Linked DNA regions of Arabidopsis thaliana. The protein of the gene in region 1 interacts with the protein of each later gene in a pairwise test. Each region holds a gene or a part of one and is shown on either strand. Other genes may lie near its edges.

Region 1 (4,252 bases):
TTTGTACTTGACCTTTCTGACGTATTGCTATAATCTGATGACAGGTACATTCCATCTCTCGTAGCCACATTCACTTTTCCTCAGAGCGTGGGGATTTTGGGTGGCAAACCAGGTGCCTCAACTTACATAGTTGGTGTTCAAGAAGACAAAGGTTTCTACCTTGATCCGCATGAAGTTCAACAGGTTTCATTTCGTGCCTCTGAATTTTTTTAGAGTCCATAAATCTTGGTCTGGCATTGTGGTGGTCCATAGTACCTAAGTCGGATAAGATGCCATTTCACATGATAAGTCGGATACTGATTGAGACTTATCGTTTGATGATTGATTTAGGTGGTCACAGTCAACAAGGAAACACCAGATGTTGACACATCCTCCTATCATTGCAAGTGAGTCTCCTCAAATTATCATGTCACAGACGACTTTTGCCTGGTTCAGTTTTATCTTGTTTCTTAATTTTATCTTGAATCTGCATCAGTGTCCTTCGTTATGTTCCTTTGGAATCACTCGACCCATCTCTAGCTCTAGGATTCTATTGCCGCGACAAAGGTATTGTATTACTACATTCTCTGAAACCAAAAGTTTTTAAATTCTGTAACTTGAAAAAACCTTTCCCTAATCTTCAACAGATGATTTCGACGATTTCTGTCTCCGAGCATTGAAACTAGCTGAGGAATCAAACGGTGCTCCATTGTTCACAGTGACTCAAACCCACACAGCGATAAACCAAAGCAACTACGGGTTTGCGGATGACGACAGCGAGGATGAACGTGAAGATGACTGGCAAATGCTCTGATCATGATCATCGTCAAACATTTTAACAATCTCAAGCTACAATTCTTTTTTTCCTTTTGTTAACCAGTTCTTTGTTTTTTATATGTGTTGGTGTATATTACATCAGATCAGAACACAATGTTGTACTATAAAATCTTTTGGGATTTTCAAACATAGATTGAAGCATGCGAAAATGGAAGAGTAGAGAAATCACAAGGTATATGAACATGATGACTCCATTTTCCCATTTTCTTCTCAGTCGTCATCTTCATCATCACTCCTCCTTCACCTTCACCTTCACTCTCTCTTTTACCGCCAATCATTACCACCGATTCACCTCCTAAGCTTCCGGCGAAAACTGAGCTTCCTGTCATCGGAAGCTGTATAGATTGAAGATCCAGTTTCAAATTTCTCGAATCATCGTTAGTTTCCCATCGACGTTCACTCTGTAAATCAGTGTCTGTGAAACACCATAACGTAGAGGAGCTTCTAAAGTCTCCGGCGGTGCGACCTCTCGGGCTAGTATCTGGAAATCGCCAGACGTTGTCGATTCTCGACCATGAATCTGTCGCTGGATCGTAAATTTCTCCGTCAGATCGGAATCTTCCTTGAGATTCCGTTCCGTAACCGCTCAGCACGCAAAACCTTAGACCCATACCAACGGCGAATCCTTGACATTCGTCTCTTCCTTCCGTCATCGGAGTAACCGACGACCACTCGTCTTTCTCGACGTCGTACACCTCCGCCGAGCGTAAAGCGTTTTTCTGATCGTCGTGACCTCCGGCGACGTATACCTTCGTTGGACTTACGGAGGCGCAGGCGAAGAATGATCGTGATTCCTTCATTGGCGCACCTCGTCTCCACTTCCTTCCGGCGAATTCCAGAACGTAAACGTCTCTCGTCGGCTGTAACGTCTCCGGATCCCAACCGCCGATGAGCAGAATCTTCCCGGCGTCCTGAAGCACGACGCACTCGCAGAAAAGCGGGATCTGCTCCTCCTCTGGAAACGCAACGCGATGCCACGTGGACATCGCAGCGTTGTAAACGCTCAATCCAAAACGCGGCGTGCAGAAAACGCGCGGGTGTGACTCATCCTCTGATTTTTTCTCGTCAACCATTAATGTCTCGTCAACCGATTTAGACGCTGGAATTGGCGGCGTTAGCGGTTGAACGAGGCAGAGGAGAAGCTCTGTTTTGCCGCATCTCCGCCGTTCTTGGATAAAAGAAGAGTCGGAGAGTAAGCTACGCCAAGAACGGCAAACGGATCTCATGGCGGATTGGAATTGGAACGGAACTCTGACCAAACACTCCAAAGCTAGTTCGGAAGGTAAACCGGGAATCAATTCGTGACATTGCTGAAAATCTCCACCTTTCTTTTTCGACACTTCCATAGTCATCGAACTTAAACAAGTTTGAGAAAAACAGAACAGAGAGTGTGTTTGATTGAGCAAAGTGTCTATGTGTAGAAGAAAACACACAAAAACTGACGAAAGTTGCGATTTAAATTTGAGTGAGTGTGAAGCTACAAAGAGGTGGCAGAGCCTTTAAATAGGGAAAGAGGAGGATGAGTTTGCTTGCGGTTGAAATAACGCGACGGTTCGTTTAAATTTTTAAAAACCCCTATAAACTTGATTTAGCAGCGTATGAAAAAAATCAAGATTCGTGTATGTTGCAAAACGCAAACGTATCTAAAAATTTATTTCTTAATCATTCCCTTTCAATCTCACCAAACAGGCAAGAGTCAACACATGGGTTACTTTGATGCGATTTCCTTAATAAGGAATAAAACTTTGAAATGGAATCTATAACAACTGGTTTAGTTCATGAAGACGGTGCTTTTGTTAAAACAATCTTTTCATAAAACAGGAAAAGTAGAAAGCTTCTAGAAGACTTTCATAAGGACAAAATGAACAACTAACAGTGGAGTAAATCATATACTCCATAAGAATTTGATTATTTGAATATCAACCAAAAATTCAAGAAATGTCCATGTTGTTTCATGATGTAAATTGTAAAGGCAAATAGTTGAAGTTAGGTCAGTGGTTACTTGGTTAAGTGAAGTTAGGTAACAATATTGTATATTATAATCACAAATTAAATTGACAGTATACTGCGCCGCACTTTTTGTTTAACGCTTTTACCACTGTATAGCGTCTATAGTTTAAAAACAGTTTGAACTAATAACTTTTTAAACTAGTTTATCAACTAGATATCTAGATTACTATTCCATTTCAGTGTCAATTGAAACCGAATCTATGACATCTTGATAATAAAGTTCACGAAGACCAGTAGTGAGCTTTTTAGTCTTTACCATCACTTTTTATTTGAAATAACAAAAAGCTTCTAGAAGCTATGCAAAGACAAATAATATGGAGTAATAAGGAATGAGTCGTATTCACTGACGCAACCGTCAACCGATAAGTAAACATCTCGTGAACTGTTTCTCCCTAATTTACTACAATTTAAAACAGGTATATTAATATGTATGATGGACATTTTCATTTCATATTGGCATGTGCACGCACTATCAAACAAATTCTTTCACGAATAGTCCATATGTATAGATTCTTTATGTTTTGCCAAAAAATTTGTGCTTAGTTGTTATAAGTTGTAAGATATCATCATGTGTTTTTAATTTTGTAATACGTATTATTTTACGTAGAAAATTGCGAGGGCAGTTTCGTTTGAATATAAGATTCATCAATAATATTATGATTGATTATAACTTTATAAAGGTTTCTACTTTATTATAGTCTTCTAGAAGAAGTTCTCATGGATATACATTGGCATTAACTATCCTTGGGTCTTACTCTTCGATTATTCAACATATTATATTAAAACGTTGACACGTCTATTCTGCGATGCACCGACGTAAAGGTATGTCTCGCGGACTTCCAGCCTCACACAAGTCATCTCGTCTCCACCGGATAATTAATGATGCTTTCTGTTGTTTTACTTTGGGGTTATTTATGAATCTACGCTTACTATTTGTGCCGTTATTTAAAACATGTTTCAAGGGAAGAAGATTAATTTGGGTGTTAGCGCACGATATGAACATAGATAGACAAGAAGAAAAATGAAAGTCGGGGATAAGAAGGAAAATAATAAGAATGGGGTCGAACATTAATAGGGGGCTGGTCCATTACACTCTATCCCATTTTCCCCACATTGTCTGTTCTTGTTTCGTCAATTGTCCTTTCTTTGATTACTCTCTACTTATGTATTTTCTCTCTATCAGCTTTTCTAGCTTTATTCATCACCAATTATTGTCGTGTGTCAAGAAAAAGTAACGTAGAGTTTCTTTGAATAGTAGTAGTAGTTTCGCATATAAACGAGTACTTTCGATTCATTTTCATTCCTAAATGGTAATATTGGCTATCAATAGGTCGCGTTAGTCAAAGAAACAATGGATACATCTTTTGAAACTTTTTGCTCGACAAGAAAAAAGCAACTATAATGTCATTTAGTTTTGTTTTATTTC
Region 2 (6,247 bases), on another chromosome or scaffold:
TGGCGCGTACTTGCAGCACAACTTCTCCAGCTCTTCCTCTTCCATATCAGGCTCTTCTAATTCCATTTGACAACCGAACCAAACTTACCAACGCTTGGGCAGTGTTAAAAAACCGGAAAGTCCCGGACCCATTACCTTGTGGAGATAACTGTGGAGTCAGCATAAACTGGCACCTAGCTACAGACTATCGAGGCGGATGGACTGCTCGAGTCACACTCTTCAACTGGGGTGATACTGATTTCGTGGATTGGTTTACCGCGGTTGAACTGAGAAATGCTGCACCCGGTTTTCAGAAAGCGTACTCGTTTAACGGAAGTATCATCGCGGTCAACGGGAAGAACACAACTGTTTTAATGGAAGGGCTCCCTGGACTGAACTATCTCCTTGCAGAGAAAGACGGAAAAAACCCGAGTGAAGACTTTCGGATACCCGGGAAACAGCAGTCGGTTATCTCCTTCACCAAGAAACTGACTCCTGGAATCAAAGTTGGTTCCAAAGATGGGTTTCCCACCAAAGTACTCTTCAACGGCCAGGAATGTTCACTCCCTTCTGTACTACCCACGAGCAACAGTCACAGGAAACATGTATCCACCTTTCTTCTCATCCTGACACCATTTTTGGCTCTACTGTTTCTTCGGATTTAAAAGTTCCAGTGAAGGACTTTCCTCATTAGCCAGAAAATATACAGTTTTCTTGATTCTTTCTAACCAGATTTGATGCAGAATTACTTCTACTACTAGTGGTGCTTTGTGCACCGTGTGATTCTTGAATTTCGTATGATCAGATTTTAGTAATCAGTATGTATACATACAAATATTGAACAGACAAATCCCTTTGTGTTTTGATCTTGAATTGCTTTGATTTCACGTTGTGGCGTTGTACTAAATTAAGTTTGTTCGAATTATTCTAAGCATTTACTCGAAATACATACTTACAAAACCCTAAACAGCCTCACTACATAAATGAGGAACAAAAGAATCTCCAAGGATATTAACCCCTAACATGAATAATTATTTCTTATATAATCTGCCATTTAAAATTTCATGCAGACTACATATATATCAAACAAGTTTTAGTAGATCGTCGTGTAAAAATGATACAGTACAGATCCGGGTAGTCCCTCCGGTTTATCGGTTTTTTTATCCAATCAAACCGGAATGTTATCGATGGAGTATGCGTCAAAGTCGAATTCGCCATCAACCGGTGCAATCCCTTCCTGTATATCAATAATTCAAGATTGTGTTTTTCAACTTTTTTGGTTCACTGATTTTTTTTGTTATTTAGTTGTAATTTGCATTATTATGAAAAAGACATGCGACCAATGGTGAGAAAGCGTCTGAGAGTTGTTATATATTTGATTTTGAACGCAAACATGTACGTTGACGGATCAGATTATGCTTCTATATAAGTTTGACAAAAAAAAAAAAATCAAATCAAACCTGCTTAAGAAGTGCGCTCATAAGATCTTCTTGATTACTATACTGCTCGTGAAACGCCATTGTTGCTGTATCCGTAGCCACTCTCTCTGATTTCACCCTCACTGAACCACCGTTTCCGTCTGCATAAACCTGATGGTGCTGTACCATTCCCGATGGTGGCTGCTGGTGGTTTCGGCCATGCTCGGTGGCTGCAACTGTCGTGTTGTGTCTTGACATGGACGAAGAAGAGTAGGCTTCTGAAGCGGAAAACGCAGCGGATTCTGAGTCCTGATGTGAGTCAAAGGCTATTCCAATATTCCTCAGATCCCAATCATTCTGTCTGGTGGTGAACATGTCGTAGCTCGGCGTAGTGAAACCCGCTTCGGAGCTGTTAACCTCTTCCTGGTAAGAAGTGGCTTTCCGAACCGGTACTGATATCCCTGGTGCACTTGCCAGCGGGAAACTGTTCACGGGAAGTTCTGGTTGGAAGTTGTTATAAGGCATCGAGCTTGATGAGTGTTGTGTTGTGAGATTAGTGTAACTTGTCGGTAACACTCTGCTGCTCTCGGGGATATTGTTCCTTCCAGAGAAACCACTTCTCTCGGAAATGCGGTTTGATAACATCGGCTGCCTGATGGATGATTGCGAAGAGGTTAGCATAGGCGGTGGTCCCCGAGGCAAAGACTGCTGACCCGCTAGAGGCATCAGCATTCCGTTGTTTTGAACACTATTTCCAGCTCGAACAGCAGCAATCTGTTGTTGAATACTCATTCGATTACCCATAGGAAGCTGCTGTTGTAAACCCGTGGGGACACCGTGAAGTAAGTTCATCTGTGGTTGCTGTTGGGGTTGTTGCCCGTGATGCCCAAGCCCTTCTCCAAATCTTGTTTTCGTGTTGTCAAAGCTGAAGATGCTTCTCTCATCCACAATGGAGGAAACCGGCAAACCTGACTTAGAGACCATCGCAGGCCGGCCTAAACCAGCGGCTTGAAGCTGTGCAAGACTCTGTGCAGGTAACTGACCTGTGACGGCTAGTGCTTGAAGATCAAACCCATTCAATGTCGAAAGAGGTCCGAAGCTCGCATCCTGACCCGTCATAAACGAGTTGTTAAGATTGCCTTGGTGCTGCGATACCCCTCCAAGCCGTCTTAGATATATCCGGTATTTCTGCAAGTCCACATAAAGCCGCTAAGAACATCTAAGCATTTCAATGGCTCATTTTGGTATCCAGTATAAGATTTATACCTGGAGGTGACTTGCTACGTTTTCTCGGGTTAGACCAGGAACATTCATCAGCTCTAAGATCTTTTTAGGAACCGCCTCTGCGCCATAGAAGATCATTTAGACCCTGAGCATAACAATCACAAATGCAAATGTAAGAAGTTTTAGTCTTACTCTCAACGCCGAGCTGATTAACAGCAGCAACAAACTGCTGATGCAATTCAACAGACCAGACGACACGCGGTTTCTTCAAATTCGACGCATCTTCGTCCTTATCATCTCCTTGCTCTTCTCCTTCCTCGTCTTTCCTCTTCCGTGAACTGCTCCTCCAATTGTTACCTTCGTTAACCGAGGATGAGTTATCATCCACCGCATCCTCTCCACCAGAAACAGCTGCACCACCACCACCTCCTCTATGTTGCTGCTGCTGTCTCTCGCCAGTCTCCTCAATGCTCCCAGAATGTTCCGGTACACTCCATTCACTTCTCCTCTTCCTAACTACATGCTGCCATATGTTCTTAAGTGCCTCCATACGTACAGGCTTGATAAGGTAATCAACCGCACCGTGCGTTACTCCCTTTAGAACCACACTCTTTGAATCATCCGCAGACATCACTAGTTAAACGAATACAAGATCAATAATCTATAAAAAAAGATTCAAACTTAGATGAGATTTGAGGGAGTAAAAAGAACGTTACTGATAACAGGTAAGTCCATCTCTAGACCAACATGCTCAAGAAGCTTGAAACCGTCCATGTCAGGCATATGAACATCACTGATTACTATATCGAATCCATGTTTGTTCTTCCGGAGCAGAGACAATGCCATCTCTGCTCTGTTGCATTTCGTTACTGCATGTCATAACAACCAAAATGTTTCATATCTTCAAAGATAAAAGAAAAAAACAGAGATTTGAATTCTGACAACAAGGACCTCATGAATTGACATTTAACCAAAACTCAAGTCAAAGATCAAAGACTCAAGATTTGAATCCATTTGAAACCTCCCCTAACTTATTATATACAATGGATCTACATGTGAATCTATCAGTAGATCAAAATGGTGTGATCTAAATGAAGAAGCTCGAGATTAATATGTGAATCTTAAAAAGTAACCAAAATGGTTTCTATTAAAGGGGGAGCAAAGTTAGTCAACCACCGATATGAAAACCATAATTATTCCTCAAAATAACATAATTTTCGAGAATGGACCACAAATAAACCCATCATTGGAGCAAGAGACCATGAACTCTCTTTCTCTCTCTCTCTCTCTCTCTCTCGTGAGATTAAACGAACAAAAAAAAAAAAAAAAAAATGAAAAGAGAAGATCTTGGTTTTTGGATACGAACCTTCGTAAAGACAAGTCCTAAGCATCCTCTCTAAGATCATGAGACAAGTTGGGTCATCGTCAACGACAAGAACTCGAAGACCAGAAGGAAACATCTCGACGACGGTCTCACCACCACCTCCTTGATTTCTACCGGAGCTGGACCCACCAGCCGATCCGAGTCCTCTTCCGTGACTCGGATTCATCATACCTCTCTCTATGTAGCTCGAACCCAAGAAACAAAAAAAGAAAAGCAGAAAAGAATATATACCCAGAAAGAAAGAGGGGAAATTGACGCGAGTTTTATTCGATTTAAAATTGAATATTATGAGAGAATACGAAATTGTTGGAGATAGAAGTGAATCTCTTCTGGGTAACCAAAAAAAAGAAGAAGAGAGAGATGGTGAGATGAGACTTAGGGAGTTGAAGAAGACAAGGCTTGTCTCACCTTAGAGCTCTTTTTCTCTGTTTTTTTATTTATTCACAGAGTAAAGCTCTCTTAATTTTTCCTATTCAATTTTTGTAACATTTAGATGCAGAAGAAAAAAAAAATGTGGTTTTTATATACTCAGTCATATATATTTTTTATTTACATATATGTAGAAGCTGACATGTCCTTTATTTTCATCATTCTCTCTACATTTAGACTATTGGTTTTATTAAATTTCATTTAGATCCACTCTCTTTTTTATTCTCAATTTCTTACAAGTTAGTTTTGTATATTATATGTACTATTGTTCTATATTCTGTTTTATTTTTCTATTTAGAAGAACATTTTGGATGTTGCTTTGAGCTCAAATTCTGGGTTATTTTGTGAAGTAGTGAAATATAGGGGTTGAATCATCAATGAAAGAAATATAGGGTAAGGAAATTTATATAATTGGGAAGAAAGTGGGACCAAAGACCCTTGATTCGTGGATCCAGCTCATGCATGAAAAAATTAATTAACTCGTCATATGTAAAGTTTGCAAACTCAAACCTTAATAGATTTTCATTAGTATTATTGTTGTTAGTTTCCTAATTTTTTGTTTTAATTTCCATTTTCTACCAATTTCGAATAGGAATTTGCCTTAAACAAAAGAGCAGCTGCATATATATATAAAAAATTCTTAGTTTTGATATGCCTATAATTTATTTACTAAACTACCCTTTGAATTTATGTAATTGAGAAACAATGCCTCCTGTCTATTGGACCTACATGTATTAAATTAAACGGCAAAATAAAAATATAATCATATCATTAAATTAAACAAAATAATACGTCTACGCACATTCAAGCATATGATTAAGGTACCAAAATACACCTAAGCATTTCCCATCATCACCTACATCTTTAGCTAAGATATAGTACATATACTTTTATCAACAAAAAAAAACCAGATATATGATGTATACATAACATAAGATTACTCGATGCCTTTTTTGGTGCAAATTAAACATATAACCTTCCAAATTTTTTAGTATGTATTTATTTCAAGTCGTGTGTAACTATGATTAGTAAGAATATAACTTATATAGTATACTTTTCATGTTTTAATCAAAAACAACTTGTAGTTCTAGGAAATAAATTGTATTAAATGGAAAATAGAAAAAAATTGTACGTTTGATTGTTGAAAACATATATATATATATATATATATATATATATGTATGTATAATTACAAGTTTACAACAACAGTAGTCAGTATATGGTGCAAAAAAAAACATGTGCGCTTCTTCTCTTAAAACGTTGGATACTAAATAAACAAAGAAATAATGCAAATGGTTCATCTGAATGATTAGTAACATCATATGCTACCCACCAATCGCCCTATTCCCCCGAAAGTATATTTTTAATAATGTATAGGATAACAAATCATATTTGACTATTCGATTGCTCTACGACATATTTATAAACACATACAAACCAGTAACTTATTTATAAATGTGTAAATTTGTCAACTTCAATGTAAACTATATCTAAGTTATCCAAGTTCAGTGTATACTTTGCTTAAATAGTTGTTTAGCACCGCCGACATGTCTTATCTTTTTCAAATTAACGATAGTTTTAAGTGTGACATACGACTTGTTTCATATGTGCATCGATACCTAATTTCTTACATTAATCAATGTTATCAAGTAAAATTCACTACTTGTAGTATTTAGAAGGAAAACTCAACAATACGAATATTAAATCAATTAAGTATTTCTTTAATTTTTATGAACTATCAACTATAGTGTATTTTCTTTTGGAAATACTGTACATGTGTATATTTCGAAGAATAAAATGAAAACATTTAATG

The links.
Region 2: the proteins of AT2G44130 (region 1) and RR1 interact in a protein complementation assay, tested with the Arabidopsis thaliana proteins (one study listed by BioGRID).

The regions. Positions count from the first base shown.
Region 1 is NC_003071.7:18,251,647-18,255,898, reverse strand, and holds AT2G44130 (Galactose oxidase/kelch repeat superfamily protein), read right to left. Parts: upstream 2,290-4,252; 5' UTR 2,169-2,289; coding exon 939-2,168; 3' UTR 845-938; downstream 1-844. Other genes in the region: AT2G44140 (Peptidase family C54 protein), read left to right, coding at 45-183, 331-386, 476-546, 627-793.
Region 2 is NC_003074.8:5,754,040-5,760,286, reverse strand, and holds RR1 (response regulator 1), read right to left. Parts: upstream 4,467-6,247; 5' UTR 4,175-4,466; coding exon 3,988-4,174; intron 3,932-3,987; exon of another isoform or gene 3,573-3,931; intron 3,491-3,572; coding exon 3,338-3,490; intron 3,255-3,337; coding exon 2,814-3,254; intron 2,741-2,813; coding exon 2,664-2,740; intron 2,586-2,663; coding exon 1,440-2,585; coding exon of another isoform or gene 1,434-1,439; exon of another isoform or gene 1,217-1,433; coding exon 1,148-1,216; 3' UTR 844-1,147; downstream 1-843. Other genes in the region: COBL8 (COBRA-like protein 8 precursor), read left to right, coding at 1-644.